2 linked regions of the Arabidopsis thaliana genome follow. The protein of the gene in region 2 interacts with the protein of the main gene of each other region in a biochemical or structural test. Each region holds a gene or a part of one and is shown on either strand. Other genes may lie near its edges.

Evidence for each region.
Region 1: of the proteins of CDG1 (region 2) and BSL3, one has a biochemical effect on the other in vitro, tested with the Arabidopsis thaliana proteins (one study listed by BioGRID).

Annotation. Positions count from the first base shown.
Region 1 is NC_003071.7:11,624,649-11,642,822, reverse strand, and holds BSL3 (BRI1 suppressor 1 (BSU1)-like 3), read right to left. Parts: upstream 12,905-18,174; 5' UTR 12,636-12,904; coding exon 12,200-12,635; intron 12,057-12,199; coding exon 11,996-12,056; intron 11,899-11,995; coding exon 11,820-11,898; intron 11,709-11,819; coding exon 11,629-11,708; intron 11,538-11,628; coding exon 11,443-11,537; intron 11,355-11,442; coding exon 11,255-11,354; intron 11,161-11,254; coding exon 11,091-11,160; intron 10,810-11,090; coding exon 10,708-10,809; intron 10,631-10,707; coding exon 10,549-10,630; intron 10,158-10,548; coding exon 9,978-10,157; intron 9,632-9,977; coding exon 9,364-9,631; intron 9,281-9,363; coding exon 9,043-9,280; intron 8,921-9,042; coding exon 8,750-8,920; intron 8,470-8,749; coding exon 8,231-8,469; intron 8,156-8,230; coding exon 8,071-8,155; intron 7,979-8,070; coding exon 7,880-7,978; intron 7,814-7,879; coding exon 7,614-7,813; intron 7,531-7,613; coding exon 7,455-7,530; intron 7,175-7,454; coding exon 7,039-7,174; intron 6,943-7,038; and 5 more. Other genes in the region: BLH5 (BEL1-like homeodomain 5), read left to right, coding at 3,286-3,720, 3,907-4,286, 4,463-4,523, 5,044-5,517; AT2G27200 (P-loop containing nucleoside triphosphate hydrolases superfamily protein), read right to left, coding at 14,864-15,830, 15,913-15,992, 16,084-16,140, 16,241-16,334, 16,870-17,058, 17,148-17,374. UniProt on the Arabidopsis thaliana protein: Phosphatase involved in elongation process, probably by acting as a regulator of brassinolide signaling.
Region 2 is NC_003074.8:9,932,053-9,947,079, reverse strand, and holds CDG1 (Protein kinase superfamily protein), read left to right. Parts: upstream 1-7,774; 5' UTR 7,775-8,143; coding exon 8,144-8,240; intron 8,241-8,553; coding exon 8,554-8,747; intron 8,748-8,848; coding exon 8,849-9,038; intron 9,039-9,123; coding exon 9,124-9,524; intron 9,525-9,956; coding exon 9,957-10,373; 3' UTR 10,374-10,498; downstream 10,499-15,027. Other genes in the region: MUB4 (membrane-anchored ubiquitin-fold protein 4 precursor), read left to right, coding at 298-468, 552-613; AT3G26960 (Pollen Ole e 1 allergen and extensin family protein), read left to right, coding at 1,621-1,804, 1,881-2,221; AT3G26950 (uncharacterized protein), read left to right, coding at 3,669-3,993, 4,081-4,243, 4,362-4,562, 4,655-4,900, 4,982-5,126, 5,221-5,452, 5,544-5,878; AT3G26935 (DHHC-type zinc finger family protein), read left to right, coding at 11,862-11,945, 12,554-12,736, 12,841-13,137, 13,229-13,462, 13,546-14,079. UniProt on the Arabidopsis thaliana protein: Serine/threonine-protein kinase involved in the positive regulation of brassinosteroid (BR) signaling and plant growth. Mediates BR signal transduction from BRI1 receptor kinase to BSU1 phosphatase.

The sequences.
Region 1 (18,174 bases), on a different chromosome or scaffold from region 2:
TATATTTTCTCAATAAGTAGATGACTACTCACATTTTGCGTGGGACATACTTTATAAGATTGGTTGATTTGATCTTTGAGGAACTTAGAGATTATCTGACAATATCTCGTTATCAGATGACACAATCAATTACCTCACAATAGAGATTCCATAGGTCATGGATCGTCATTGACCAGTTTGATAACTAATGCATGAAATTAAAAGTAATGCAAATTAAAATTAAAAGTAATAACAGGGTCATAATATTCCCATTGGTGATGCAGTTTTTATAGAAATTTTGGAATGAAGTAGTGTTTAGATTCACTAGATATCAAATAAATTTCGTTGTGAAAGAGTTTAGGGCTTGGAAAGAATCTAAGTAGATGTGTCAATTAGACTATGAGGTTAGAGACTATGACGAAAAAAGTTGAGTTCGGGCAATGTGTCAAGTAGATGGTCATTTTGGAAAAAAAGTTTATCTAGAGATAGCCACGAGTCTGGGATTGATTCTATCACAGTCGGGTGACCGTACAATATTAGAGTAGGAGCAAAATACTATAGAAAGATTTTACCTCTTCAAGTTTTGCAAACGACAAGTGATTAAAAAGAATCATGTTCAATCTCTTAAAACATCATTTGAGTAACAATAAGTCAATACGCAAAAGGTTCTTATAAGATGACAAAGTAATGAATTGTTTCCATAATGGCTAACTAAGATTAGAAGTTGCATGATAATGCAGTCCACACGAGATGGCTACTTTTTTCAGACCTACTTCTTTTTACTTTATTTTTTACGTTGCTCTAATGGCGCTTTTAATTAGTAATTTAAGCTTTAATTAGCTTTATAACTCAATCTTAACGTTTTAATGATGATCTTTGATCAGTTATGATGGTTTTGACAAAGTAAAGAATACACTTGTCATTCTCTGATTCCAACATGGCTTTAGATTAATTCATGCTAACCCAACTTTTTCAATACCCTAGTGGAATGTCCAAGTCATTCCCTTAATATCCCATCAGTATTTTGTTTCACTTACCTTATGATATAATCAACAGAATATGTTTTCAATGTTATCGTGTCCAAAGTTGAGTTTTAGTGCTATATTTTGTGGACCAACCACAAATATCATCAAAGAAACTTTGGTTTTGAAATTTATTCTAAAGGTCATAAGCTTTCAGAGAAAACAAAAGCATAAAATTATTCTCTAGATCAAAATTTTAAATATATTCAAAACTCATTTTTATTACCTAGCTAAAAATTCACTTGGTCTATACAAAGAACGTATAGTTTGCTAAGCCGTTTTTAAAAATTCGAACAAACATTAAACAGCTGAAAACCAAACAGTAAAAAGAACGTATAGTTTGCTAAGCTGTTTTCAAGACGATTAGAAATATTATAAATATAATCTGGATTTAGTTTCGGCTTTTAACATACAGTTTGTTTCACTTCACTTTTCTTTCTTTCCTCATCCTAGTTAAACTTTTATAACACACTTTTTTAAAGTTGTATTGCATTGTCTTTTTCTTATTTGTTTTTACAGTTACTTACTCTCGGGACGAATGGCGAATTGACACAAATCCACGAATGTAAATAAATAGCAATGTCGCATTATACTTAATTGATCTAAAAAGGAAAAATACTATTATCATAAAGTGAAAGATATAAATACAACTTGGATCTGACCGACACGATGAATTCTCATACACAGTCTCAATCCACCAAACTAAATAGTTATTATCACATTCAATAATAGAAAAAAAATTGATCTCAACACATATCGCGATATCAATTAAGATACGTCTAGCTTTATTTCGGTGTGTGATGGGAAGCTTTCCGAGGAATACAGGCAGATAATGGCATCACCAAAAAATAATGTCTAAATGTAATCTATTAATAAAATCCAAATTTTATATTAGTATTCGAAATTATTTTCTAGATACATTACTATGTCAAAATGTGTTTTAACTATGGATGGATGCTTAATTCGAAGAGTAATGAATTTCCGGGAATTGTGGACCATGTGGTCTATTTTCCAATGTACCATTACTATCTTCAAACACAAGTACTGACAACACAAAGAAAACATAAGAGAAAATATGATTTAGAAAACTATATGAAAGGAATAGGGAAATTTTGAAGATAAAGGCGGAACCAGGCAAATAAACTTTATTTATTTTGGCTGATAAATTTTTAAACATAGATTTGCATTGCAATACAGTTAATTAGTTGTTTAGTTGTGGAAAAGAAGAAAAAGAGTGACTTGTCGCAAACTAATATGGTTATCTAAATACATAAAAGAAGACTTTTGATGTGTGGAGTGGAAGTAGACGTTTCCTCGTTCTTCAACTATCTCCATGGTTCTGCTGACCCACTTCTATTATCTTTTCACATACATTTAACTATACACATATACATAGATTCATTGTAGATTTTAATTTAGTAATAATAATACAATATACTAATAATAAATGTTGACCTACTAAGTTATTCATGTAGGGATCATATAGATGCGTTGCCAAATATTAAACGTGCGGACATCAAATGATAAGACAATACTACCATCTGTAATATATTTTTCTCGTCAACAACCATTAATTAAAATCTTATTTCACCTATAGTATACAAATGGTAAAACGAATGACAATGATAGAAGTGTGATCGTAAAAATATATATATGGTAGCTATACTTATTCTTAGATAGATTGTCTCGTAGATCTACATTTGCGACCACATTGAAATTTTTTAGCTAGGTTGGATATTGGGTGTGAATCGTGCCTAAGATGCAAGTGAGAAATATTGGATATGTAGCAGTAGCATGCCGTGCATATATCATGTATGCTAGAATTGGTGATTGGTCAAAATCCATTGAACTTCGAAACATCACAAGAAAAATATTAATCGTGAGTGTCACTGTTTAGTTGTCCAATGAGATATAAAAGAAAAAAGTACATATTTTTCCCATTTATGAAAAGTCCAATCACATTTTATTTATAAAGGCGACTTATTGGACTTTCTAGTTGACAGATCAATGAAGCAGAGGATATTTAGATGATCATCGCAAGCAGAGAGAAAGACACGTCGAAGAAGACAATGAGAAACTCACACCCATAATTTGCTGCTCATCATTTCTAATTATTAAATAAAAACGGTAATTTAATTTTCTTGATTTGTCACATCTTTATTTCATCATCTTTTGCTTACCTTTTCTTCCTAAGCTCTTGGATATTATTAATGTTTTAGATCGATTTATATTATAATTTGATATTTTCTTGAATTGCAAGTTTTGTTGCTTAATTGTCAGAATAATGGCTGCTTTCTTTCTTGGAGAATCTGAAATGAGAGAACACTCTTCTGATCTTTTTATGATGACTCTGAATCCGTTTCGCGAGCAGACAACGACCACTAATGCTCATGACGATCACTTCTACAACTTGTGCTTTGGTTCCCAACAATATAGACCTCGAGATGAAGTAGGTCATATAGAACAAGGAAATTCTTCCATCTCCACTTTTTCAAACGGAGGAGTCTTCAGGGCTTTGGCTCCGATCTACTTGAAAGCGGCTCAAGAATTACTCAATGAGATTGTCAATGTTGGAAACGGTAGCCACGGCGCAAAACAAGAGCGACCGGTGAGTAAAGAGTCCACGATTTATGGAGTTGAGGACATCAATGGTGGCTATAAGCCTGGCGTAGCTGCTTTGCAAATGAAGAAAGCAAAACTCATCTCCATGGGTGAAATGGTAACTTATTTATACCTACCTATATAATATGTGATACACAAATAATAATAATAAGATCTTTGTATATACAAACCAACCATGGTGATATATATAATGGCAATAAACTTTCTGTTACTTTGAGATCGGGACTCAAGTTCAGTCCATATATTTGGTTATTGCATGTTAAGTATTTGATACTTTATAAAGGTTTCAAAGATTGGTAAATTGATTTGGGAAATGAATTTGGTAAATTATACACAGGTGGAACAGAGATACAAGCAATACCATGACCAAATGCAGACTATAATCTCATCGTTTGAGCAAGCTGCGGGTTTAGGCTCAGCAAACTCATACACACATATGGCGTTACAAACAATATCAAAGCAGTTTCGTGCTGTAAAAGACATGATAAGTTTGCAAATCAAGCAAATAAACAAGCTCTTGGGACAAAAGGAATTTGACGAGCAGCTTAAGAAGTTGGGAAAGATGGCACATCACCATTCAAATGCTTGGAGACCGCAGAGAGGTTTGCCCGAAAAAGCTGTTTCCGTTCTACGCTCTTGGCTCTTTGAGCATTTTCTTCATCCGTAAGTAACGTTTTCTTCTATCTTTAATTCTTGTTACGATTATTGTCGATATATCAGAATGATGGGACCTTGAAGCAAAGGGAACTAACTAAGGATATGGAAGCTAGGATCATTACTTAGTTTTGTATAGACATGCATGCTAATGATTTAGTTGTGTCTTGTTTTGGTTTGTATAGATATCCGAGGGATTTGGATAAGGTAATGCTTGCCAAACAGACTGGCCTTACTAAGAGTCAGGTAATTGATTTCGATTATCAGAAGTTGGACATACTTAAGTTTCTTAATGTTAGATGTCTCATACATAGTACATATACAATTTCATGACATCATCTAACACCGACTATCAAGAATAAATAATCTACAGGTAAAACCGAATATATATATAGATTCAAACAAATTTTATTCCGATCAAAAAAATATTTTTAGAAAGATATCTCTTTATTTCTATTTTTTTTTCTTTTCGAGTCTGAAAACAAAAACGTACCCAAGAATTCTAAGAAAAGCAGGTAAACCAAATATATTTTGGTAAATTTATTTAGATAGATGATGTATATTTATTTTATTATAATTATTTTAATGAAAATAGCGATGATAGCATACGAGAAATATCATATATGTGATCCTTTGTAAAGTAAATCAAATTTATTTTGGTTAAATTAGTAATTATATATATTATGGAATACTTTCTTTTAGCACCCATGATTATATATAATCAAAATAAGTATTGTTAATAGTATCTTGTGTAAAATGGATGTAGGTGTCAAATTGGTTCATTAATGCTCGAGTTCGAATGTGGAAGCCACTGGTGGAGGAACTTTATTCGGAAGAAATGGATATTGAAGAAAGCAGAAAAGGAAGTGACCGGTATAGTACCAAAGGTTCATCTTCAAAGCAACCGTACAATAATACAACTTCAAATGAATCTTCGAACACGATCCTACCCGCCTTTCGTCAAGGATTCACTGAAACTGAAACCCCTAGGCAAAATTCATCCTCAAGTTGCAGCGTAGTCATGAGGTTCACGAAGCAACACATGAATCAAGCGAACTTCATCAATTTCAACGGAGGGTTCGAAAACTATCACACAATGGATGGAAACAGCGTCTCCCTTTCCCTCGGCCTGCCTCATTCTTGTGACCAAACCTTTAATAACATTCATTTTGAGTCAACAAGTCATGGAACTGAGAACTCGGCCATATATTCATCTTCAACTTATCAAATCATGGATTAGAAATAATTAGTGGGGATGATATATTTTCTGCTTGTTGCTTACGTATATTCTGTGTATAGTTTTGGCCCTTGGATGGTTTCGTATGGGTTGATGTGTGTAGATTGATAGAGAGGAGATGATTAAGTAAAGGTTATGATAAAAATGTAGATAACAATACTAAGCTAAAGAAATATATATGGTTTTCGATAGTCAGGTTTTAGTTAGTATTGTTACGTATGAGTGTAAATGAAGATCAGATCAACCGTGAGATCCATATTAGCTAATAGTTGTGACTTTATGAACGTGTATGTGTGTGTGTGTGTGTGTATGTCCCCAAAAACCCTAACTTAATCTCCCACCTCTTCTGTCTTTTTTCTAAAATTTGTTCCACAAAACAATGAATATATATTAGCTATAATTATTATTTTGTTGTTTTACATGATCATCTTAGTGACCTAACCACAAGTTAATTGGCTACCAAGAAGTTATGGATTTATTTATTTGAGTTGATTTTTTGTTTGTCTTCCATATCCAATTTTTTATTTTTTATTTTACAAACTAACAAAATACAGAAATGTTTTAAAAATGATGGTAAAATAAGAATATGATAGAAAAAATGGGAGAGAATATTTTCTGTATCATTAAACACACAAACCGTTGCTACAAATTACATACTGAAAAATATGAATGAAGACATTATACAAACGACCAAACACACCTCTCTATGATACATAAATACCCCAAAACTAAAACAACCTCTAAAATCCTCCTCCTACTCACTCTCCTGTTTGTGTCCCTCACCAAAAGTCCAATACCACATATATAATCAATACTAAGAAAAAAAGCAAAGTGAAGAAAATCAAATATATGAATAAAAATGAGAAAACCCCTTTTACAAAACAAATACTCTTCCTCCTCACTACTACTACAAATTCTTTACCCTTTCATCATCTGACTTGAATGAACTTAACCTGTGAAATTCTTCGATAACTCAAAACCCTCATTGATCCATCTCGTTGGTAAATAGCAATCGATAATTGAATGGTTTGGTTGGTTCTGTACACAACATGAGGATCACCTAGAGGCGGCTGTCAGGACTCGGGAGAGGTATGTTATCTCGCACTCGTCACTCTTTCTGTAGGGTTTATATCCAAGCAAGAGAGCCGCGGTCATTTGGATTTTGTGGGCGTCCTCTTGTTGGTGTTGGTGGTCTATTTACGTTTAACTCCTGCAAAATATCAATGCTTAGTTACGCCATTTTCCAGGTGGAAAAAGGAAGGCATTAGTATCTGTTTGAGATAAAAACCTGCATCCATGTATCCTCTATATGTCTTTCTGGTGAAGTTTCAGGTGAGGTTATCGCTGGAGGCAATGGATGGATAAGCTTAGGAACCACCACAAGATCTCTCCCCAACACCAAGATAGCCCCGGCATTGTTTGCGGTACCTGAGAAGGAATAAATATAGATCATTTTTTGTCAGAAACTATCAGATCAGGTCTTATTACCAGCTTAGGAGTGAGTTCTCGGTTCCATAAACATACCACAATAATTTGTTGCCGAAAAGAGCGTTATCAAATGACCTTGGGCAAAACGCTCAAATCCGTCCATCACGCATTCATGCGCACGTACAATCAATTGCAGATCATTGTTGTTGCAAAACTCCATGACACGGTCAGGCTGCAGTTGTCAAATTCTTGGTAAGTAATAGAACAGGCAGAACTACTTATGGAAGCGAAGTAGAATTATATTACTCAATATAATTGTCTAACAACAGCCCATGAATATGTCAAGGGTAAGGGACTAGCAAAATCAGTACTCTTCACACTTAGGAAGCTCAAAATGAGCGGAAAGAAAAGATCACTCAAGCTGATGTAATGGAGTATGAGGTGAGGAGGGGAAGGGAAAGAGAGCAGTAATCAATGCAAAGTGTACGAAATAGAAGAAAAAGACCACTCACCCCAAAAGTAACCAACCCAGGGCCTCTAGCATTGGGCCTTAAACCTTCGACACTGTCATTTTCAGTTGGATCCGACCTAACAGATTACAAGATGACATACTAGTGAGACAAGGATCACGGAAACAACATAGAATGATACAGCATTAGACATGAACTTACCATAATAAATCCATAAGTACAATTGAGCCTGCTTCCATCGTAATTGGACGTTGGATATTTTCTATCTGCTCCACATGATTTATCGACCGACCAATTCCCCCATGCATACAGATGATTTTCTTCTCAATCAGTGCAGCCAGAGGTAGCCAATTGAATAAACGGTTTATTCGATGCCACACCCAGATCCCATCACGTTCACCCTGCAAAGTAGCCATGACATGAGACCCTAAAAGTGGAGCAAGAGATTCACAGAGATGAGACACTACCATTCGCTCAATACACTCTATCCGGAAACCAAAAAGTGCATTAATGTCGGCAGCTTCATGATTTCCACGAATCAGGTGTACGTTATGTTGGTATTCAACCTGCAGTGTCAATTATAGAGCGTTATAGCATTTCTTATTAAGCGTTAATAATACCTGAAAAGAGAGCATTAATATAGTTCTCTTTAAACTACCTTTAAAGCAAGCAGAAGTGTAATTGTCTCTAGGCTGTGTTGACCCCGATCAACATAGTCTCCTAAGAAGAGGTAATCGATGTATCTGAGAACAATTAATACAGTCAGTAATGTCAGACCAACACATAGCATGGCGCAAGAGATTTAGCTGCACACTTACGATATGTCTCCAGCTGTTGATGGTGAACCATATTCATCAAAAAGGCGCATGAGATCCCCAAACTGGCCATGCAAATCACCAAATATCTTAATAGGAGCTTTAAGCTGTAACACAGTAGGTTCGCTTGAGAAGATACGTTCTGCACTGTCGCAAAGATCAGCTATTTCATTGCAATCCAAGAAAAACTGGCGACGAACTGGAGGCTTCCACCCCCGAGGCTTCAAAAGATGAGCTACAACCTAATAAAATTGAGTTGTGAATCATTAGAAGGTATTAATAGTCAACTCGGAACCTCATACCATTGAACAATACAAATGATCTAGTCGGATTACATGTCTGTTTAAAAATAAGTTTCCAAAACTATTAAACCAAGGGGTAATACACCTCCACAGTATCTAAGTACACTTCCTATCTTTATCAGACAAACCAAATGACCAGTGCCACAGCAGACAAATTCTCTACAATAGTTCGAGCACACAATAACAATTTCTTGCAACACTTAACTGATTAACAATTTACCTTTTTCGGAACACTATTGATTGACATCTGACGATCTAATAATTTCCTAGCTGCTGTTGCACTTTCGGGTGTCCCATAACTAACACGGCGTCCCTCATTTTCAAATTGATCAATGGATAACTGTCTAACCATTCCACCTAAGGCTCCACCTGTTTCTGCAGCAACCACCACCTTACAAAGTTCCAAAAATAAATGCAAAACAAAAATCAGAAATTAGAGATGTAAACCACTGGTAAATGAGCTGGAATTACGGTAAATGACAGATTTTTCTTGATAGAGTTAGATTGACTCACAGCTCTATGATGAAGTCGAACCCCTGCAGGAATAACACTATTTGGTACTGCAGAATCAGGCTTAATCAATGATAATGAAGGTTTTCCACTGGGCGTAGCCTCAGCACCACGATCCCTATCTGGAAGTTCAACTTCCCCATTGACCTGTCGTGCCTTCGCAGCAGCTAATGTTGCACTGATAGCCTCGGCTTCCGCAGCAGATGCTTCAACAAGATACTCCACACCCTTGCTTGTTCTCCTACAATGTTGTTTGATAAATATTTTACAACTAAATGCATAGGTGTGCTAACAATACGACACCCCACATATTAAGACACTAACCGAATTCCTGGAACCATTGCATTTTCAGTGCTAATATCAGTATACATATCACCATTTACAGGGGGTGCAACAGGGCTTCCCAGCACCACAGCGTCAGGAGCTGATTCTGGTAGCTCCCCTGTCCTTTCATCAGAAAATCCATATCTTCCAGGTGAACGGCCAGGTGGCGTGTTTGTTGCTGCTGCTGCAGCAGCAGCATGAGAGGCAGCAGATGTTGTTTCCGCTGCAGCAAGATCTTCAGCAACCAATAGGTCATCAAGTAAAACTCCTATAGGATCAAGAGAATATAATTAAGTTTAGCAGCTACAATTTTTAAGAAAATGCACGGTCTGCAAAGGGAAGAGAAAAGAAGCTACGGCACATATATTTGGTGAAGAATGATCTCTATAATGGTTTTACTAACTAATACTGATAATATTAAGTCCCAGACTTTAACAAAAGATCAAACTACCTACTTAAAAAACAAATCCTACACTATCATACACTAACAACTCAATAAATAATATGCCAAATTAGTAGATCACTGGATTCTCAGTACTATATGCCTGGTTCATTTCATGGACAAACGTGTAATGGTAAATTGCCTATAACAGCTATCAAGCTTTTTTCCTTACCTCCACGCAACCCACCATAGATGAATATCAAATCACCCACTGCAGCAGCAGCATGCCTGCATCGCCTAGTCAGCTCAACAGAAGCATCACCACCAGCTGCGTCAGCACTATACCTACCAGTTCTAGGACTAGTAACAACCGATTTTGTATCACACCAAACACCTGCTGCAGTATCCAACACTGAACAAAGAGAAAATAATGAACCAGTCAGAGAAGCTTACATGAATGCATGTACTAGTTATTACGAAAATAATTTTGTAGCTTCCTCATGAGTTATGGATGAGTGAACTTTTTTTTAATATCCCTGTTTGATAGTTTTATATAAATTGCAAATAAATTTTGGCTTCTACAGTCCATTGAGAAGAATGATGCAGCTTAAAGGATGAATATAACTATGCTTTTAGAAAGAAATAATATGCCTCACTAACAATTAATCAATTAAGACAGCCAAAAGTTGTACCAAAAAAAAGTAACATATCCATCATTTTAGAGATTGTATGTATAAGCAAAAAACGTAAGTATTATCTCATTAACAACACAAACATGAGATTGTTTCTCGCCTTTCGCTAACCTGCAACACTGGACGAGTCTTCTACCATGCGTCCACCACCAAGTGCCCCACCAGAGACATGGAGTCTTGCATTTACAAAGACCTAAAATAATCCACCAAATGTTGGTTTTTCTGATGGAACTAGCTAAAAGAAGTAAAAAAAGAAGAAGAATCTCATACTGCAGCATGCTGGTATCTGGCAGAAGGGGAGACACCTGGGGCTATGGCCCATTCCCAACGTCCATCTCTGTGCTTGGCAAGTCCATATGCACTTGCTAGGGGCTATCACGCAGAGGTACACAAAGACATATTAACCATGGCAATCGAACATTAAATATCAAGACAGATAAAGAAGCTCTTAAACTCTAATTGTCACTTTAAGAACATGATAGATATTTTCCTATTTGAACTCGTATTTGAAGTAATTTGCAAAGAAAAGCTATTCCCCTCTCTTCATGAAACAAGTTTGTTCAGTGCAGTGTTAATTTAATGGTAACAAAGAGTAATACAGCATTTGGATTTCCTCCACGTCATAACATGGCAGTAAAAACTCTTTGGCTTACCACACTATTCGCATCTCTTCCACCACAGAGAAGAAGAAGGCCATCAGATCGCGCACTTGCAGTTGCATACCTAGTTATAATATACAAACCCAAGAGATCCAAATCACTTAACTGAAAGCCACAGAATCACATACAAGAAATGAAGCGAAGGAATCACAAATTACATGCATGGTGGTGGACCTTCCCCTTCCGGTTCCAGCTTACGCCATTCATAAGGTTTGGCAGCAGTGTCCAAAGCCCATACATCAGCTAATGGACGTTTCCCTGGTAATATAAGGATATTGAGAAAAAAGAAGCTATTTAAGGAGAATATAAATACATATTTAATGAGGTGGCGAGTGAAACTGCTTACCATCATTTCCACCAATTGCCATGAGATACCTCTGTCCTACCAGTGCCATGACATGTCCATAACGTGGTCCTGGTCCAGGACCCTGAACAACAACCCTAGATAAAGAGGATAATCCAAATCAAGCGACAAGCTAGCATATGAACTTCAGGACCGAGCTAGCGACAAAGAGCAGATTAATATTCAAACCTGTGCCATCGTGGCCGTTGCTGTGTGAGATCAAGAACGTGAAGATCCTCAGCTGATAAACCAGCAGGACCTATTCCCCCCTGCACCACAGAAACAAATCAGTAGCAGGTTCATTTACAACCCTAAATGATAACCTTGAATTGCTAAACTATAATCCATAACAAGAAAATACAAAACAATTTCTCCCCTACCTGAATTACTACCATGGTCCCAACAGCAGTAGCAACATGAGCAGCTCTTGGACTAGGTGGTTCTCCATAAGGTGTAAGCCTATACCATCATTTCATCATATTAATTCAACTTCACACTTAACAACAAATCACTAGATCTCCTACCTTAAACAGCACAATTCATATCTTCTACTCACCTCGACCACTTATTAGAAAGAACATCATAACAATGAACATCAGCGGTTGCACCAGCTAACCCTGCATAGGAAACATTACTCTTATCACATCAGGGCAAGTCTAAAACTGATGCAAAATCATACTCTAACATCAAGGAATGATTTCAGAAACTAAAGCTTATAGCTTTATACGAAACTAAAGCAACGAGAAATCGAAAAACATACGAATGCCAGCACTTCCAGCTGAAGTAGGTGTTCCCGTTCCTCCAGAATTACCCTCAAGAGCAGTAGCACCACCAAACAAGATCAGTCTCGGGCCAATATAAGAAGACGTCCCTTCTTCACCAACAGCAGGAACCGCCGTCAGCGTATGTCCACATCTAGGACCAGGACCATCTTCTTTCTTCTCGATTATAGCATTCACAACCGAATACGTTGGCGCACATCTCGGACCAACCACCGCCGTTACCTGCGGCTGTTGCTGCTGTTGTTGTTGTTGCTGCGAAGGAGGAGGAAGAGAAGGAGTCAAAGACGCCGATTCGGATTCGGATCCGGTTTGTTGCTCAGACGCTTCTTCTTTCTCCTCCATAGGAGATTGATTCTCAGACGTAGCAATAGGATCTTGATCATTCTCTGGTACCATTGAAGAATCCAAATCCATATTTTTCACAACCCTAAATTCGTCAATTTCAATGCTTTTTTAATTAAGAAAGATCGTAACACATCTTCTTAATTAGCAAATTCCAAATTCTCGCTTCTAGAATCTTCACGGTGGAGAAACCCTAGCTAGCTTTTCTCCGGTGAGATCTTCCCGGAAAAAAGTTAATTGGAGTAGAGAGATTCGGAGAATTTGAAAATGAGTTTGTTCTTTCTTCTTCCCAGTTTTTTTTTTTTTGTTGAGGAATAAGGACAGAGAGACACTCAACACCAAACAATCAAAAAACTTGCCCTTTGTTTATTTATCTCTCTCTCTTTAAGCTAAGATAATTACATTTATTAAATCATTTTTATCATTTACTTAATTACTATAAAAACAACAGAAATTATTTGAGGAAATAAAACAATTATCTATTTCGATTTGAGTAACGAAATTGAAGCTATATATAGTCTTGTACTAAGAAATTGTTTCATCATTTATGTAATGCAAACAATACGCATGAAACTGAACTGATTTGGTAATGTGTAGTTAGCTTAAAATATTGTGTTGATTATTTTATATACCTAATGGTGGATTTGTGAGAGACATATGTTGCAAATTGTAGTGTTTTCTAGGAAAATTTAGGGTGATTTATAAAGGGTGATTTATACTATGATAATTGATACGCTTTTTAGAAAACTATTTGTATTTGACACACTTTCTCAGAGTTTGTACCCTTTCAAAATTTTTTTTTTTTTTTTTGACATCGTACCCTTTCAAATGTTTGTATCGTATTTTTATAAATGTTTTAATTTATTAGGCAGTAACATATAGAAATGTATCTTACAGTACAGAATCTAGTAATGTACCTACGAATTTAAGGTCACCAATAAGTGCTATAAGACTTTTACATTGGTTTTGATCATCCAAATTGAGAGTTGAGACTAGATAAAACCACGTAGAGAAGAAAAGTTCGGTCACATGTCCTCGGTTCTTAAATGGCAGTAACTACATTTACTAGAAAGTAAGAATTCAGTCAATTTTAAGTTCATTGATGAATATAACACATGAAACTCCATCATCAAAATATTGCTAATAATATCCATGTTACAATACATAAAAGTGGAATAAACAATATTGCTCATGAATAAATATACAATGAATGGTGAAGAAAAATCGTAATGAAATGAGGATTTCTAATGCATTGAATGTCATCTACAACAGAAACGACATTAGTCAATTCAGATTAACTTCGTACAAACCGCCAATTTCAGTTTTGGAAGCTTTAGAAATAATCTATGAAGAAAAATGACTAATATAATGGAAATAATGAAACTCATTCATCATTGCGTACAATCTGGATGTTACACTTTTTTATATATGAATTTAAATTTCAGAGGGTTTGTAATTAACTACAAAAAGAGCTTAATCAGTAAAGTTTCCCTTTGCCAAATTTTTTTAAAACAATGAAGAACCTAGGAAAATTCTGAGTTAGAAGAGTTGAGCTACTCAAATTTGAGCCAATTGCAAATAAATTGTTGACTTCTTTACTGATATGTTTGTTTGCTCATTAAAAGACGGCGATGACATACTTTAGATGAAGTGACAAAGCTTGAGGAATCTATTGAATTTGTCCAAAGTCCAAAGCTATGAAATAGAGCAAAAAATGAAAATATCAACAATGGTGAGAAAACCTTGCATGTGCATTGATTTAGTACAAGAGTGATGCTGGAGAATATAAAGGTTACAAAATGTTTATTCTTTTTTTTTTTTGTCTAAAACAAAAGTCTGATTCCTAAATTGAAAAAATACAATAAAAGTCTGGGAAATGAAAATTGTAGTTTGAGTTGCTTTGCATATGAATGAGTGATCTTTTTTTTTTTTTTTTTTGTTATTTATGGTATAAAGCCAATGTAACAGGCCAAGATTTTACACATATTTAAAAACAAACAAACCCACAAATAGAAAACAAACAAACCCACAATGAGTGAGTGATCTATAATATCTCAATGGCAATATATTACAACTACCAAACCTGCTTCGAAGGACTCTTCATCAATATATTGACTAGCATCAAGTTGAAACTTTATCGATATCACTAGTATTTGCTCAAACATAATATCTAAACAACAGCTGTTAGAATGTTATCACGATTTCTACAATAAGAAAAATCCACAACTGTATCATATATTCGAGCATTTGTTGATCGGTTTCAGGAAAACTCTCAGAATTGGCGTTCCATCAAGACCGAATCATTGTTTCCTATGTGACTTCTTGTGCTGTTTCGTTTTGGAAGACACAAGTCCATTTGCAAGATCAAACGAGCTAAGATCATCTAGAACTTGATCAAGACCAAGACTAGGAGCTTCTTCACCTTTCTTCTCAGTCTGTGAACCTTCTCTTGTTTCGGCTCCCAAAGTGTCATCCGCTGTCTCGTTTTCATCATCTCGGGTTATCTCTGGAGGCATTGCAAAATGTGGAAGCTTACCTTCAATGTAATCTTTCAGAATCTGCCTAGCTGCTCTAGTCTCATCAGGTAGTCCACTAGAGGCAACATAACCACGAGAGAGGCAGTAAGTTCTTAGAAGCTCTGAGGCAAGAGGTGGGCGGGACTGAGGTTCATAGGATTTGGGTTTAGGTAGAGAGATGTTGTACACATCCTCAATGGCATGTCGAGGAACAAGTTCAGCCACAACCTTAATAGCTTCAAGGTGCTCGGTCATCCGGTCTATTGGAAGAACTCCAGAAGCAACCATTTCATATCTTGAGCTTGAGAATGAAGGGAAGACTAAACCAGGGCAATCGCAGAGCATTAGATCCTCAGAGATTATCAATGTCTGGAAATGCTTTGTTTTCCCGGGGGTAGATGTGACACCAGTTCGCTTCTGACCTACCAATGCGTTGATTGTCGAACTCTTCCCCACATTCGGGTACCCAACAAAGCCAACCACAACTTGTTCGCAGTGTGATTCAGTAGAAGTTGCGGAAACTCCTCTAGATTTCCTCATTTTTACTATCTCTAGAGCCTCAAGTTTTAATCGATCCAAAAGGTCGTCCCTTCCATATACTTTCACAGCTGGGTTATCTGTCTTCTGTGTGGTATCAGGTGCTCTCCACTGTTCTTTCAGGGGTTTACCTTCTAGGGTAGCCGTAGCAGCTTTGGCTGACCAGAAGACAAACAGAATATTGTTGCGGGAGAAGTATTCCGCCCATTTCTCCCTGAATTTACATTACATAGAACCGAACTGGTTAGCAATAAAACAAACAGGTTGGAGGAAAAGAAGCAAGGCAACATGTTTACCTGACATAAGAAGGTAACAGATCTGCCTTGTTGACCAGAAGCATTGTTTTTTTATGCTCATCAATTTCTTGTGCATATGCCTGTTTCAGAACAAATCTCCACGTTAATGTTTGATATGGATCAGGAAGGTTCAATTAAGAGATATCAGCAAGTTGGCAGAGATAGAGTTACCTCAAGATCAGGGCAGCGGTAAAACAGAGGATCTCTAGCATCAACAACCATAACAATCTGAAAGAGAAAAAAATAGCCAATGATATTTTGCAATTAACTAAACCATGCAAAATGAGCTCTAAGAGACGAAAAAAGAAATCCTGGAAAACAGACATACCAAATCACTACGTTCAAGCACTCGCCAAAGTTGTCTCCAGATATCAAGGTTCTTCTCGAATGGTGTCAACACAAGCTTTTCATTTTCCTCGAGGCTGAATGAATACAGCAGAACAAGTAGGCATGCATAAGTATATAGCAATAAGTCCCAACGAAAATTGTACATAACGAAATCAAGCCATACATAGTATCCTGAGTAAGCTAAAATCTGCTTCAAAATGTGAAAATGGATACATTTTTACTAACAAAAGTAGTCAAACCAAAACGCATTCAACTGTTTTGGTACCTTATTCTATAACGAACTTACATCTGCATTTCCAAAGTAATTTAGCTTTATCAAGTACTCCTTTGAGATAAATGCAACAACTTGTAACCTCAAAACCAATTATATTGTAATAACAAACAAATATTGAGAGTAAACCAATGAAAACAACAGTACGTAGCTTATAATATGTAACCATAGAAAAGCATAGTACTAGATCATTGAGAAAACAATCGGACTTTGTAGTTCATTGTCAACACTAGGAACACTTGCAAATGAGTAATCAATCCTCCATGCTACTAACAGCAACAATCCTTCTAGTTTATTGTCAACAATACAAAGAAGAACGAAGTAAAACAGAAACAAACCTCGCAAGTTTCCGTCGCCAAGTGAGAAAAGCTTGTTTTTCATTAGCATCAAGTTTCTCCACATTCATTTTAGGTGTCCAATGAGGTCTACGAGGAACTTGAAGACTACTAGCATGTAAAGCCTCTTCTCTCATCCTTTGCTCTTTCCATTCTTTAGCTGTTATGCCACTCGAACTCGAACCTGTATCCCTATTTACATAACATAATCACAAACCAAAAAATGATTCAATACAAGCAAATCTCCAATTTCACAAGAATGATTGAATCGAGAAGCTCACATATTGATAGGAACAGGAGTTGCGGAATCGTGATGAATCGCGAAAAGACGTTCAGCTTCTTCGGCTTGTTCGATGATGGCATCGATGTCGCTGACTTCGGTCACGGATTCTAGAACCTTCTTGTGTTGATCTTTGTAGGATTTGCCTTTTTCCTTGGTTTCCTGGATCATATGGTTATGGTGCTTCACTAAGGCTCGACCTAGAGATGTTTTCTCGTTCTTCCCCATTTTCTTCTCCGGTGAAACCTTTGAGTTTTCCGATTCAGCAGATATATATCGTGAGGAGACGATTGAGCACTTTTGTGTTCTTCTTGTCGTGATTTTGATTTTGATTTTGATTTCAGCAAAACTCGGAAATGCAGAGAGACTCTCGTGCGAAACAAATAAAATTAGAAAAGTAGTATTAGCCTATTAGATCTTTCAAGCGAAATTTACTATCTCTACTGCTTCCAATCGCATAGATGTAGATAGTTAAGATATTTCAAGTGTTTTTAGATACATTTCCTTAGATTTATAAAATATTAAAAACTTGTTATATAAAATATTTCAAAATTTTTATTAGAAATATATGACTTTAGACAATCTAAAATCTTTTGTCCAAAAAAAAAAAAAAAAAAGACAATCTAAAATCACGTAATAGTAATGTTTTAAATTTTTATCATCTTGTAATTTTGTTTTGGACAAAAAATATGTATGAAGAGATGATAGCAAAATGAATTCGGCACTACAAAATTTGTTTTGTTTTGATATATGTTAAAAGTTTAAATGTATTCACCTGTGAAAAAAATATCTTTCAAATCGAGAGAATGATTAGTTATCTTAACCGGTGTTCCAAAGAAAAAAAAAGATTAGTAATCTTAACCTTTAAAAATGGATATTATGACTATCCATATCAAAAATAATATATAGTTCAAAGATTAAAAAAAGTATGAATAACTCTAGATTATGATGTTAAAAACGATGATATAGTATATTTGGAACACATAATGCCTATAAAAATACTTATACGTGTCTAAAATGATTATTTA
Region 2 (15,027 bases):
AGTTAAACTATTGATCTTTTAAAAGGTTACTCGATCTTGTGATCTATGTTTTAACAGTTTCTCCACTTGTGGTATAGGCTTTTGAATTGGTCTGATTGTATTACTAATCACTTGTCTTATACTACAAATCATGTCTTTAGAGACTATAGGGACGAATACTGTTCTGGTTCTTTTTAGTAGAATTTCTTGATCTTACTCTTCAGTCTTGTGCATTCAACAAAAAATTGAATTTGTCTCATTTTGTTTCCTATTGTATCTTATTGACTAATCGAATTTGGGGGTTTTGAATGTGTGTAGACAAGAAGATTGTTCCAAAATCAGCTAGTGACATCAAGTTGATAAATGCTGGTAAGATTTTGGAGAATGGTAAAACTGTTGCACAGTGTAAAGCTCCATTTGATGATCTCCCTAAATCCGTCATTACAATGCATGTTGTCGTGCAACTGTCTCCAACAAAAGCAAGACCAGGTCTTGTTCTTTCTTATCTCCGTAAATCTTGTTTGTGGAATGAATTCTTTAGCCTAATATCTTGTTTTTTCTTTCTCTTACAGAGAAAAAAATCGAAAAGGAAGAAGCCCCACAGAGAAGCTTTTGCTCATGTACCATAATGTGAGAACAACAACAAGTCCCAAGTCAAAAAATCTGAAAGAGTTAAGTTTTGATTCTCTGTGGTATTTGCTAAAAGACCATATAAACATAAACTACCGCTTCATATTCGACATTTTCTTCACAAGTTCAAAGAAACCTTCATCTATGGCGTTATAAAGCTAGTCTATTAGAGTTGTTTCTCTTGAGCTGTGATGGAAAAACTCTTGTTTGGAGCATCCTTTATAAAGATAAGAGTTTTGTTACCGCGAACTAATTCAAGTATCTCTGTAACATATCTTGTATGGTTTTGTCAATCTTTAGTACATTTTAGACCTGGTTTTTTTCTCTATCAGGATCCGCCCAAAACTGTATCCAAACATCTTTATCCAGTCCATTACCTACAGTGAAAACGAGTACTAAACGTTTGCAGTTTGGTTCTTGAGTGGCAAACACTTTGATATGTTACTATATGGTCCATACCTTTCTCATCATTTTCCACTTCCACAAAGCCAATGTTTTGGGGATGTAGGTAGATACAAACCTCCAAAAGAAACAGAGAGCATGAGATCTCAATAAATGTCCTTTCACCTAACTTATCACTGTCTCCCACTTAATTCTCTCATTTATAACCTTCACTTTCACTTAGTGTCTCTCCACTATCTTGTCTTGTTTCGCCTTTAATTCTATTCCTCTCCTCTGGCTCTCATTTATAATCTTCACTCCAAATGCACCTTTCTTTGTACTCCCATCACTTTCTCTTCGATATGGTATTTACTTTAATCCGATTCGAATATTGTAACTATGAAAAACAAAATGAATAGTAAAAATATCCGTTTCGTATCCAAGCCTATTTTTAAAAGACACGTTTGTATAACTCTCTCTATATATAGAAAGGAACCACGAAGCTCTTTCAAGAGAGTTCTATTCTTGTCTGAAAACTAGTTCCCTATATTTCTTCTTTCTTCACACACATATTCTCCAATTCTTACATAAATATCAAATAAACCAAACTTGAAACTTGTTGTGCTTAAGATGACGAAGAAATCACTGACAATGTTTCTTTTTATACTTCTGCAATTTCTGCTCGTAAACTCTCTATCTTCAAAGCATTCATCACCCAAACCAAAACCAGATGCAGAAATCACTATAATGGGTTTTGTTTACTGCGATGTTTGCTCCAAAAACAGTTTCTCTAAACACAGTTACTTCATGTCCGGTAGTAACTCAGAACAAAAAGATCTCTTTAATTAATTCCCTGCAAAAACTCTGTTTCTTAACGTTTCTTTACACAGGTGTGGAAGTGAGGATAGTCTGCCGATTCAAAGCAGCTTCGTCAACAACGACAGAGACTATAACATTCTCTGCAAACAGAACCACCAACGAGTTTGGACTGTACAAGGTAGCCATATCTTCTCTAGATTGTGCTGATGTGGACAGTCTCGCGAGTTCTTGTCAAGCGAGTTTGATTGGAAGAAAAAACTTCTCCGATTCTTCTTGCAACATTCCTGGTTATAGAACCACTACGGATCAGGTCTTGTTTAAGTCTCAACAGTCTAATTCCTGTGTTTATGGATTCAATGCTTTGAATTTCAGACCGTTCAAGAGGGATCTTGCCTTGTGTGGCAAGAAATAAGGTTTTTAGAACTACAAATTATCATTCACTATTATTGAAACTCTCTGTTTGCTTTCTACTCAAATATATATATATGTCTTTCGTCTTGTTCTCGACCATTGGCTTTGGTTAAAAACAAAATTTGAATTTTTATTTCGTATGCTGTAAACTATTAGTATGAAAAATAAGGAAAATGAATCACTTTTTATTTCACAACGTAATGAACAGAGGAAAATTTTGGCGAATGCTAGAAAACACACCAAAATTTTACGAACAAATTTACACAATTTCTCCTAAAACGTCCGGAAAAATTGCACGACTGTTACTAGTTTTAAAGCACGAGTTACCAGGTCACCTGTTTTCGTTAGACTGATAATTCATATTTCTACAGCAAATTTAGTATATCAATCTGTGTAAATATTTTATTGATTTATAATATATAAATAAAGTTGCATCTAGTTATGTCGTCATAAGTTTACGCATACGTATATTTGGAGAAAATGTCAAAAAAATCTTTAATTGTAAAAAATAGCATAAAAAGTTTTAACTTTATCTCGAGTAAAATAATGCGCTAATTTTCATTAACTTTTTATTTTAATCATATTTTTAATTGACTTCGCATTTTTAATCGCTCATTTTGTTGACTTTACCCAATATGTCACGTAGTTAAGTTGACTAACAAAACAAATTTTTAGAGTTAAATTTTCGTTGAGATGTTATGTTAAACTACACAAAAAAACATTGTTTAACTAACAAATAAAACTTAAAATGAAATTCAATCTTCTTACTACTTAGATAAACTCATGGATACGTCAATGGTGACATACAAAAAGTGTATATTAGAGAGTAACTCAATTATATTATAGTGATTTAGCCCTAAGTTTTTAATTCTAGAAAATTTAAAAATTTTAATGATTAAAACAACTATAAGTTTTTAATATATTGGATGTATATTATTACAAACAATAATATATAAGATAACTTGTACATGATTCACCAAAATAGTCTAGTTGAAACAACTATAATTTGAAGTTAAATAGGCTAAGTTGAAACAACTATAATTTTGAGATTCAACTATTCTTGGGTTACGGATTTTTACATTCTTATTAAAATATTGTGTTATTGGTTTGGGGGGTTTTAAATTTCCTCAAATGAATATCTTCTTATACGAAAAGATTAGTTTTCTTTGTAATTTTATTAAAATGATGATTATATTTAGATGTGGTCATGTGGATGAACCACCACCAGTGCACCAAAAACAGAAAACGACGCCTACCAACTTGATGGGCTTTTAATAGATATAGTTAGTTAGGCCCAGTTTAGTGTTAATACGATACCGTTTGACGTAGTTTAACGGCCACCGACACGAACGAATCCAAAACGGCACCGTGTCAATCGCATCCAAAGCTCTGATGTAAGAAACTCTACACTTGTTCGAGTTTCGGAGAAAAGAAACGATGAGGAAGAGATGAAACGCGGTGGAACAAGACGGAAGCGGTTGTTCGGGAAGACGATTCTCTTATCATCTGTGGTTTTCTTCATCGGTTTTGGTTTGTTGTTGCTCACGCTCCGTTCCGTAGATCCTAATTCGTCTTTCATCGACGACGACGATGACGAGTCCGAATCCGAGGAGGCTTCGAGATGGAGCAACTCTTCTTCGATTGGAGAGGCTATGGTCGATGGAGCTAAACTCTGCGCGACGGTAGAAGAAATGGGAAGCGAATTCGATGGTGGTTTCGTAGATCAAAGTCTCAGAGTTCGAGATGTTATCCATCGCCATTTTCAAATCAATGGTGAGATATTTTGTTTTTGAATCGACTCTTATATAAGCGGAGGTGTTTACGATGAATCAATGTCGATGTGGTTATTGTGGTTTATAGGAGCTTCAGCGATCCGTGAGCTGCCTCCGGAGCAATTTTGTAGACATGGTTATGTTCTAGGGAAAACAGCAGAAGCTGGATTTGGAAACGAAATGTATAAGATCTTAACATCAGCAGCATTGAGCATAATGTTAAACAGATCCTTGATCATTGGCCAGACCAGGCATATATTGGTTCTTTCTCAATCCTTTTTCTCTATATTAACTGAACTGTTACTATGCTTGTTGTAGTTTGTGTTATTTGTCTTGTTTATATTTCTTTCTTTCTCTGGGTATCCTCAGGGGGAAGTATCCTTTTGGTGATTACATTGCTTACTCAAATGCTACGTTTACAATGAGTGAAGTCAAGCATCTGTGGCGACAAAATGGCTGCGTGAAGAAATACAAAAGGCGGCTTGTTATGAGATTGGATGATTTCGAGAAACCGGCTAAGAGTAATGTTCTATGCAGTAATTGGAAGAAGTGGGAAGAAGCTATTATATGGTCAGTTGAAGAAAAGAAAGTACAGAAGATACAACTTTGAATTCATTTTGTGAAAGTTATAATCATTACTGAGTCGAGCATTTGGTTTTCAGGTTTCAAGGCACGACAGACGCTGTGGCAGCTCAGTTTTTCCTCAAGAATGTGCATCCTGAGATGAGAGCTGCTGCATTTGAGCTATTTGGAGAGCAAGGAAACTCGGCACCACGAGGTAATGTGTTTGGAGAGTTGATGATGAGTCTCATATCTCCCACAAAAGATGTTAAAGAAGCAGTGGACTGGGTTCTACACGAGACTGGGGATCCTGATATTTCAGTGCACATGCGAATGTTGATGAGCAAGTATGTTAAAACGTGCATCTAGGTTTGTTTTTTTAGTTGTTGAGCTTGTTGACTAAGTCTTCCTTTCATGTTTTTCTCCAGATCTGTTAGACCTATGCGTGCAGCGATAAACTGTCTAGGGAAAGCAATTAACAGACTTGGCATACCGAACCCGAGAGTGGTTATAGTGTCTGACACTCCATCTGTAGTGAAAATTATCAAAACAAATATCAGCACCATTGCAGAGGTATCAATGATCTATTAAACTTGCACTTTCTCTAATCTTCCCAATGATTTATTCAATTCCATTGGCGGACTAAGTAAGTTGCAATGGTTTTCAGGTTCTACATTTTGACTATAAGCTTTTCCGAGGTGATATCGCTCAACGTGGCCGCGGTTTACCAATGTTAGATTTCAGAATAAAGGATTGGGGTCCTGCACCGAGGTGGGTTGCATTTGTAGATTTCTTCCTCGCGTGCCGTGCTAAACATGCGGTGATCTCCGGTGCTAACAGGCGAGTTGGGACTACTTATGCTCAGTTGGTTGCTGCATTAGCCGCGGCAAACAGTCTCAGTTAAGATCGTTTTTTAGTTTCCTCAACACTTATTTTTCTTTCCTTCTGATCTGTCTCATTAACAGTACTCCTTGACTGGTTAATTCACAGAGGATGGTTCGAGCAACTCAAGCTTTGCGTTCCTGAGTAGTTTCCAGAGCAATTTGTTAGCAGATGGTCTGAAGAACCAGGTAGGTTGGGGACATGTCTGGAACCGATACGCTGGACCGTTAAGCTGTCCAAAACAGCCAAACCAATGCGCCTTCACGCCGCTTGCACCTCCTGGTTGGTGGGACGGTATATGGCAATCGCCCATCCCACGGGACACTCGTAGGCTTGCAGCTTTCGGCATTGAGCTTTCCGGGTTTGGTACGGTTAACGAAGACCGGTTCCACGCCTATTGTAGCGCCAAGAAAGAGTACGTAAGCACTGTAACAATCATATAATGACTTCTTGAAAAAGATTCTGGACTCTTGGTTATAAATGGACTCACTGGTTTTATTCTTCAAATCTACTTCCCCTTCTTTAATTGAACCGGCCATATCAAACTTTTTGTTCTAAATAACCGGACCCAAACCGAATTAAGCAAACCGAACGCCCAGGCCTACGAGTAACTAGCTGGCCTCTTGGTTCAATATATGGTTTTACTACTCCCTTCTTAAATTGAACCGGCTTTCTTACCAGGTCTAAATAACTAAACCCAAACCGAACTAACTAATTAAACCGAAGTCAAATATATCCAGCTATAAGTAAGAGAAGACTTCTGGTGTTTATTAGAAACAAAGTAAGATTAAGAGAGGAATAAAGCTGGTGTCAGACATTAAAGATGGAACATCATCTCGTGGAATCAAACTTTTCCTAATACAAAAATTGATTCTCGGTTAGTGAAACTTCAATTTACTACCACTTGCAGATTGTTAATTTCATTATTATTATTCTCGTCGTTAGAAATTTGCTACTAACATTGCAAGTAGGTTCAGGTATAGGTGAGAGCTAGTTTAAGATGGACAAAACTAATTATGTAAGTAGTTCTTGTAAAATATGCATTTTAAAGGTAACAATTGCTATTTTGGTGTAAACTTTTGTAATGACTAAAAATAAATAATTGTGATGGAAATAAAATCTGATTACAAAAAGATTTGAGAACGTCATGATTCATTCATAATCATGTACTGTCTACCATACTTTTTATTCTACGTACTACCATACAATCTCCAAATTTTAAGAGTGGTATGGCTCCATGACTCACATCACATGATTTACATTACATATTGTACTAATGTCAGAACCTTAACCGATCGTAAAAACCGATCAACAACGTTAACCATCATTATTGACCGTTATCTGTCGTCATAAAATCTCGGCCAAGGCTTCTTTAAAGTCTTGGCTAAATCAAAAACAACTTTTGAATTTGAACCTCATAGTGGAGCTAGAGAAGAACACAACCAAGAATCAAATGTGTATACGTTCGTATAATTAATACTTGTTAATACTGTTTCCCTCTCCTCTTTCTTTAGTTTTGTTAATTACTAGACTTTTATGCACAAAATGATAAGAATGGAGTCATAAAATCCATAGAAACCATAAAAAAAAAGTTCCGATAATTATCATTATCGTATATTGAATAATGTGAAATAGAAGTTGAATGTGTTTCCAAATTTGGTTCGGAACTGTCTTATGTCTCAGACAGAGAATCTTTGATAAAATCTTTTAACTTACATTGCATGGATATATTGGCCTAAATTTTACCATTATCAGCGTTCCTTTTAATTTTGAGGTTAAACATAGGGAAAAGCATCTTGCCGTTTTCATCGTCTGTTAAAAATTATTGAGTTTTAGACTGGGAATCTTTAATACTTGTAGCTCACGTTACATGAATTTGTTTATCAAAATTTTGTTATTCTCTGCGGTTTTTGCAATACACTTAAAAATTATTTTGCACCAAAACCAACCAACAAAAAAAATTCTTCAATGAATTTCAAAAACGTTGATAATTTTTTTGTCGTTACGTCTATAGTTTTGGGCCTTTTTTGAATGCATAACAAACATAGTTATCATCTAATATATCACTATTAGAATTTAGAAATACTTAACGTGAGGATTATTTTCTAATTTTTGTCTTAAAAATTAGTTTAAATTCAGAATCCAACATTTATCACAATTATAAATTCCAGGGATATAAAGGAGAAACTTACTATAAAACAATTAACATTGTAGATTATTACCCTCAATGGCATAATAAAACAATAAATGATTTTATCTCATAGAAGCAATTGGTGAGTAACGTACCATATATATTGCACCCCCATGCTCTCTTTTGTTGATTACGTGTCTTTCCTTCCTATCAAAACCCCTTCAACCAAATCTTATCTAAATCCCCCAAAATTTTACGAAAACTCTCGATTTTAATCTAAATCTCCTTCCTTATCACCTCACAAATTTCTCGTGTTTTTTTGTAATCAATTTTTGATGGAAAATTATTCCCAAAACTCGAATCTCTGTTGATCGTGTGTTTCTTGGGGTTCGTCTGATTCCTTCAAAGTTTTCATCTTTTTGATAACAAAACCGTTAGTTCTTTGTCCTCGTGTGTGATCATCTCTTGAGCCCTATTGATAAACCATATAGAGAGTGTATGTGTGTGTATATCTTTGTTTATTGAGTGACACCAACAACAAAAAGATTATTTTCCTTGAGATTGATTAAAAGAAAACATGGTTAGTTGCTTGTGTTTTCGTCCCAGTCGGAAAACGAAGCTCAAAGACAAATCTCATAAGAGATCCATACGTAACCAGACATCCTCCTCTTCTGGTTCCTCTCACTTCCCTTTGATCTTTTTATTATTATTTATAGATTAATCTTGAGATTAGTCATCTTTAATACCAGTCATTAGTAGTAAATCATGATAAAATCTCCCTTTTCTTTTAAATAGCTTATTTATTAATGATACATATAGTATTTGTCTTGTGATTAGTTTATACGGATCGTACAAATCCCGGCTTAGGGTTTGTGTTTTATAGTTCAAAGATTTGTGTATTTGGCTGATAAATGTCTTTTTAATCTACTTGTGATCCAATAACATATGTGATATAGTCTCTCATTGTGTTGTTTTGTTCCTCTGTAGCCCAACCAGCTGGAACAGCAAAAGAAGTAGATTCGTCAAGTTCACAAACCGTAGTGCAAGATTCTTCTAGATACAGATGTCAGATTTTCTCATACAGAGAACTCGCCATCGCGACTAACAGCTTCAGGAATGAATCTTTGATCGGAAGAGGTGGATTTGGAACTGTGTATAAAGGAAGGCTAAGCACTGGACAGGTAATCTATTATTAACATTTGGACTAATCAAATCAATAATCTTGTCGTTGTGAAATCTCTAACTGTTTGTCATTGTGCTTTGTTGTTGGTCTTAATTCAAGAACATAGCTGTTAAAATGCTTGATCAGTCTGGTATTCAAGGAGACAAAGAGTTTCTTGTGGAAGTCCTAATGCTCTCGCTCTTGCACCACCGAAACCTAGTGCATTTGTTCGGTTATTGTGCTGAAGGCGATCAAAGACTCGTTGTCTATGAATACATGCCTCTTGGATCTGTAGAAGATCATCTCTACGGTAAAAAAAAAACTACACTCAAACCAAGAAATTTTCAAGAACGAGATTCATTAAAGTTTTTTAAATTCTTGTGTTGTTTTGTCAGATCTTAGCGAGGGTCAAGAGGCTTTAGATTGGAAGACAAGGATGAAGATAGCTCTAGGAGCGGCTAAAGGGTTAGCGTTTCTTCACAACGAAGCACAACCTCCTGTGATATACAGAGATTTGAAAACTTCAAACATATTGTTGGATCATGACTATAAACCTAAGCTCTCAGATTTTGGACTTGCAAAGTTTGGTCCAAGTGATGATATGTCTCATGTCTCTACTAGAGTTATGGGAACTCATGGGTATTGTGCACCAGAGTACGCGAACACCGGGAAGTTGACGCTGAAATCTGATATTTATAGCTTTGGAGTTGTGCTGCTGGAGCTTATCAGTGGACGCAAAGCTCTTATGCCCTCATCCGAATGCGTTGGTAATCAAAGTCGCTATCTTGTGCATTGGGTAATCCTCTCAACCTTATTTTGCTTAAGGATGGATTAGTTTTTTCCTTATGACCATTTATAGGCTTTGCTTCTTTTAGACTATATAACCAGATTATATCTATCTAAATTCCAATTTTGCTTAAGAGAAAAATTGTTTTGATGGTGACCTTTTGGTCGATTTTGCATAATTATACCGTTTACGATTTAGGGTTTAGGGTTTAGATTAATCAATTAACCATTAAACCATATGCTATCAATTTTGATTTTTCGTAAAAATGGTAGTGGTTTTACTATTGACCTTTAACCATATATAGGTTTTGATTTTGGTTATGCTGATGAAAAAGAGTTTCGTGTTATGGCCCTTAATGATGTGTGGATACGTATTAGACTAATGAATGTTCCGATTTTGATGACGACATGTTCATGTGTTTCTTTTTTTTTTTCTTAACAGGCACGACCGTTGTTCTTGAATGGCAGAATAAGGCAGATTGTAGATCCAAGGTTAGCAAGAAAAGGCGGTTTTTCGAATATACTTCTTTATAGAGGTATTGAAGTGGCCTTTCTGTGCCTAGCAGAAGAAGCAAACGCTAGACCATCGATCAGCCAAGTCGTGGAGTGTCTTAAGTATATCATTGATCACACAATTAGGAAGGAAAGGAGAACTAGGCGTAGACTACTAGGAGGAAATAAGGATGGGGCGGGGACATCGAGGTCACCGGATGAGACAATGATGAGGATGTTAGAAGAAGAAGAAGAATACGTAACTAGTGAAGAAGCTATTGAGAGAAGGAGGGTAATCGTGGATGATGCTCGTACTTGGGCCGGTATGAATAGGAGAGGGGCTACGCCACCAACTCCGACTCCATGAAAGTGAAGTAAATTTTTATTAACTTGTTTTTCAAGTTATATTTGGTTAAGTTTGTTTGGTGAGACTATTGTTAGAAACCAAATTTTGTTAAAACATTTAAACATGGCAATTTAGTTAATACTAGATTTATGTTTGTTTTTATATATGTACTAACATCAAATTGATTTCTTACAAATTTCATCTGCTTCAATAACTTCGGTTTATTTAATTCGATTAAGATTTTGTTTCATAACAAAAAAATTAATATTTTGGACGTAAACTTTTTCATTTCATTTTTTTTAATATTTAATTTTATTATATTGAATCAAAAATTACATGGTTATCAATAAACATACACATACAACCAATATTTAGGTAAAACAAAATAATCGAAAAAGTAAAATCGCACGTTGCTTCTTTCGATAGGTAGGACTTATATGCTACCAGAGAAATAATTCTGTTACTTTTTTTATTCGTTTTCATCTTTGATCTTCTTTTTTTTACTATCGCCTTTTTGATGAAACTACAATAAGTTCTTCAAAAATTATTAGTTGCGATCCATCTGTTACATCGCAAATCATACAAATTTTTTTTAGTTGTAGAAAACATGATTGTTTATATAGCGACTTGTTTTCCATATAGATATTCCTTCTTCACAGCCTCCAACACCGGTATCATGACTCCCCAACATCCATATAACGCTGCCACTGGATTCATATGGATCATATTCATATAACGCTTAACATTCTGCAAACTTGAAACTTTAGTCAGATAGCATTATAACATATCTACCATCCTTATTGGAACCAGAAGCGTTCTACAACCACTTTGTGATTTTTACATCGGAATTGTTGTACACGTAAACTTTTTTGTGTTATGAAAAATGTATTTAAAAGTTGAATGAACATATTTATATAGTTAGGCCCACTTGTGTGAATTCAGATTTTCAAGGCTCAAAAGAATATTTTTGTTTTAGAGAAGGTTGAGTCCATCATCATAACCCATATGTTGCCTGTCATCATATTTTTCTTTCGACCTTTTTCTCCTCGAGATTTCAAAAGATAATCACTATTAAGAAACAAAATTTTTGACCGCGGTTACTAAGTGACAAACCAATGAAATAAAGACACGTCAGCTTCTGTCAAAATAAGAAAGATAAACTAAAAAAACGACGGTCACACACAGTTTCTTTCTTTTTGGTTATATTAAAATGTTTTTGTTTGAGAAGACAAAAAAAAAAAAAGTGGGGGAAGAGAACCCACCATTGAAATTGGGGGAAGAAGAGAAGAGAGGCTAACACACAAAAAAAAAAAAACCCTTCTTTTTCGCTGGCTTACTCGTGCCCTTGTCGGCTTACTTCGCCGGAAATCTGAATTATCCTTTTGCCGGAGACTACTTACCCTTCTCTTTCTTCATCTTCGAAACGGGTTTTTAAAGCTCAGCTCTTGGTGACGCCGTCGTGAGAGAGAGAGAGATTGAAGTAGAAGAAGAAGAAATTGAGGTTGAGAGATGTATGTAGTGCCTCCGCCTCAGCGATCTGATTCTGGATCCAATGGTGATTTAAGGGTTTACCAAACTTGGAAAGGCAGCAATGTGAGTTTTTTTTTTCTCTTTTTTGTTCTTCTTTGAGCTATAGATGCTTCATTACTCTTCCTTCCCATTTTTTTAGTTTTTGCTAAGTCTATTAAATGGGACTTTAGATTAGCTGCTATGTTTTCAATTTCAACCTAGTTCAAAATTGGAACTTTATTAAGTCTTTAGGAGAATCTAGCTATTGCGTTTTTGTGAATCCTAGGTTTTGGTGTCGTTTTCATAGGTTGCTTTTGTGGTGAATACCCTTTGGATCGTTTTAAGCTGGACAAGGCATTTTAACTTTATCTAAATATAGCTCAATGATAGATTGAGTTACTTTGGACAGAAAGGTTTTGTAATTTGAGATTACACATATATATATAGTAGATACTTGTGTATAAGGAGGTTTTCAATAACCTTCTCTCTGTGTTGCCTTAAGACATCAGCTAGAGAATCTGAATACTTCTTCAATGATTACTTACTCTGAGTACTGATTAAGACATGTGTTGTGTGATGTACTGAATTCATCGCTGGTGTATTGTTTTCCTGGATGATTCTTGTTTTTGGGGAATACTTTGTTCTCGAAAGTTTCTCTACCGGGCTGTTTATTTTCGCGTTTTATTTTGCAGATATTCTTTCTTCAGGGAAGGTTTGTATTTGGGCCAGATGTTAGATCACTGGCGCTGACCATTTGTCTCATTGCTGTCCCTGTTACAATTTTCTGCATCTTTGTCGCAAGGAAGCTAATTGATGACTTCTCCGATAGCTGGGGAGTCTCAATAGTAGCTGTCGCCGTCGTGTTCACCATTTATGTATGTATAGTTTTTTCTCGCATTGCATAGCAGATGGTCTCTATAATATTCTGTAGCTGATGCTTTTATTTTGTATTCCCTTATGATTCCGTTTCTTTCTTCAGGATTTAATTCTTCTGCTGCTTACATCCGGAAGAGATCCAGGTATTATCCCAAGAAATGCTCATCCTCCAGAGCCTGAAACCCTTGATGGAAACATGGATGCAGGGGCTGGCCAGACTCCGCAGCTGCGATTGCCTCGCATTAAGGAAGTACAGCTTAATGGAATCACATTTAAGGTCAAGTACTGTGACACTTGCATGCTCTATAGGCCGCCTCGCTGCTCGCATTGCTCAATTTGCAACAACTGCGTAGAAAGGTTTGACCATCACTGCCCTTGGGTCGGCCAATGTATTGGGATGGTAAGTCAAAATCCAACTGATCCCGTCTTTAAGCTATCCACATAAACCATAGTTTCCTAAATATCATCTCATATTCTGATGGTTGTTGCAGAGGAACTACCGATTCTTCTTCATGTTCGTCTTCTCCACGACCCTTCTATGTATATATGTGTTTGCCTTCTGCTGGGTCTATATAAGAAAGATTATGGAATCAGAGCACACAACCACTTGGAAGGCAATGCTTAAAACTCCTGCCTCCATTGTTCTAATAATATACACATTCATATCAATGTGGTTTGTTGGTGGCTTAACAGTTTTCCATTTATATCTCATCAGCACGAACCAGGTATGTTGCGACCATCCAATCCCCACCCTCTCTTAAGGAATCACGGTATCTCTGTAACCATTGATTTATCTTTGTTCTTGCAGACTACATACGAGAATTTCCGATACAGATATGATCGGCGAAGCAACCCACATAACAAGGGAGTGGTTAATAACTTCAAAGAAACATTTTTTTCCACAATCCCTCCTTCAAAGAACGACTTTAGAGCTATGGTCCAGCGTGAACCTCCATTACCTCCTAGATCTGTAGCAGGTGGTTTTATGAGTCCAAACATGGGTAAAGCCAATGATGAGATTGAAATGGGAAGGAAGGCTGTTTGGGCAGACATGGGTCCAGCAATGTCAGATCATGGTGACGGTAAACATGGTAACAATGAGCGGTTACATGTTAAGGACGGTGAGTTAGGCGAGCTATCTCCAGACATTAGGGCAACAGTTGATGAACAGAGTGATAGGCCAAGTATGCACCCGAGACGCTCAAGCTGGGGAAGGAAAAGCGGAAGCTGGGACATGTCACCAGAAGTTATGGCCTTAGCAGCCAGAGTAGGAGAACAAAACCAGAACGGCGGAGGTAGCAGCAGCGGAAGCGGTTTAGTGACGGAGAACCGGCCTACATAATTGATTACATGGTTTAGCACCGAAGGAAGAAAGAACATAGCCGAAGTTCGGTATGGTGAATACAGGTTTAGAGAAAATCTGAGGGGAGTTTCTTTTTCTTTTCTTTTTCAAATGTGTATTTTTTTTCTGGGATTATTCAGCTTATAATCAGTCTTGTGGTTTGTGGTTTATGGAGGGAAAGCAGAACTTGCTAATGTTCTTAATGTGGAAAGTGTTTGTGTTGGGCTTTGTTGTGGTAAAGCAAAGGTTGAATTGGTGTGTTGTTTGTATGAGTGAGCTTTCTTCTGGATTTGTTTTCTTCTTCTTTTCTTTTAGTTGTGTTAATACATTTAACCAGAGATTTCTGTTTTTTTTAAGGTAGAGGAGAAAAAAGTTGATATATAAACAAAAAAGTTTCTGTGTTATTTTATCAAGAAGCTGAAACAGAATTATCAAGACATGTGGACCAAAAGACAGAACATTTATATAGTTGTTCATTGAAGCATGGCTCTGCACTTAATGCAGAAGAGCCCTAATGTTTAATTTATTTTGCCTCTAAATTAATTTAAATTTGTTTTTGTTTGATAGGACAAGGTTACAGAAGATGAGTGTGTTAAGGTCTCTGCTGAGTCAAAGATATAGTCAAGAAAAATGTCCAAATCAATAATTAAAGCCTTGAATTATAGAGTTTAAGTTAAATTTTCTGAAAATCTAAGCTTGTCACACAAACATCAGATCATAAAGACAGGATCTTAAAGAGAGTCGATAAGATTTTCATCAGTGTTATATATAAAACTAATATATTTATATAACATGGACCATAGTTCAATTGAAATGTCACTATTATCATTTAGTAGCCTCTGCTCCTCTTTATTAGGAACCTTACTTGTGATAGAACCACCATGTGAGAGAGCTCTAAACCCTCTGAAACTATTCTTTTCATCTTTATCTTTCTGTCTTCTAAATTCA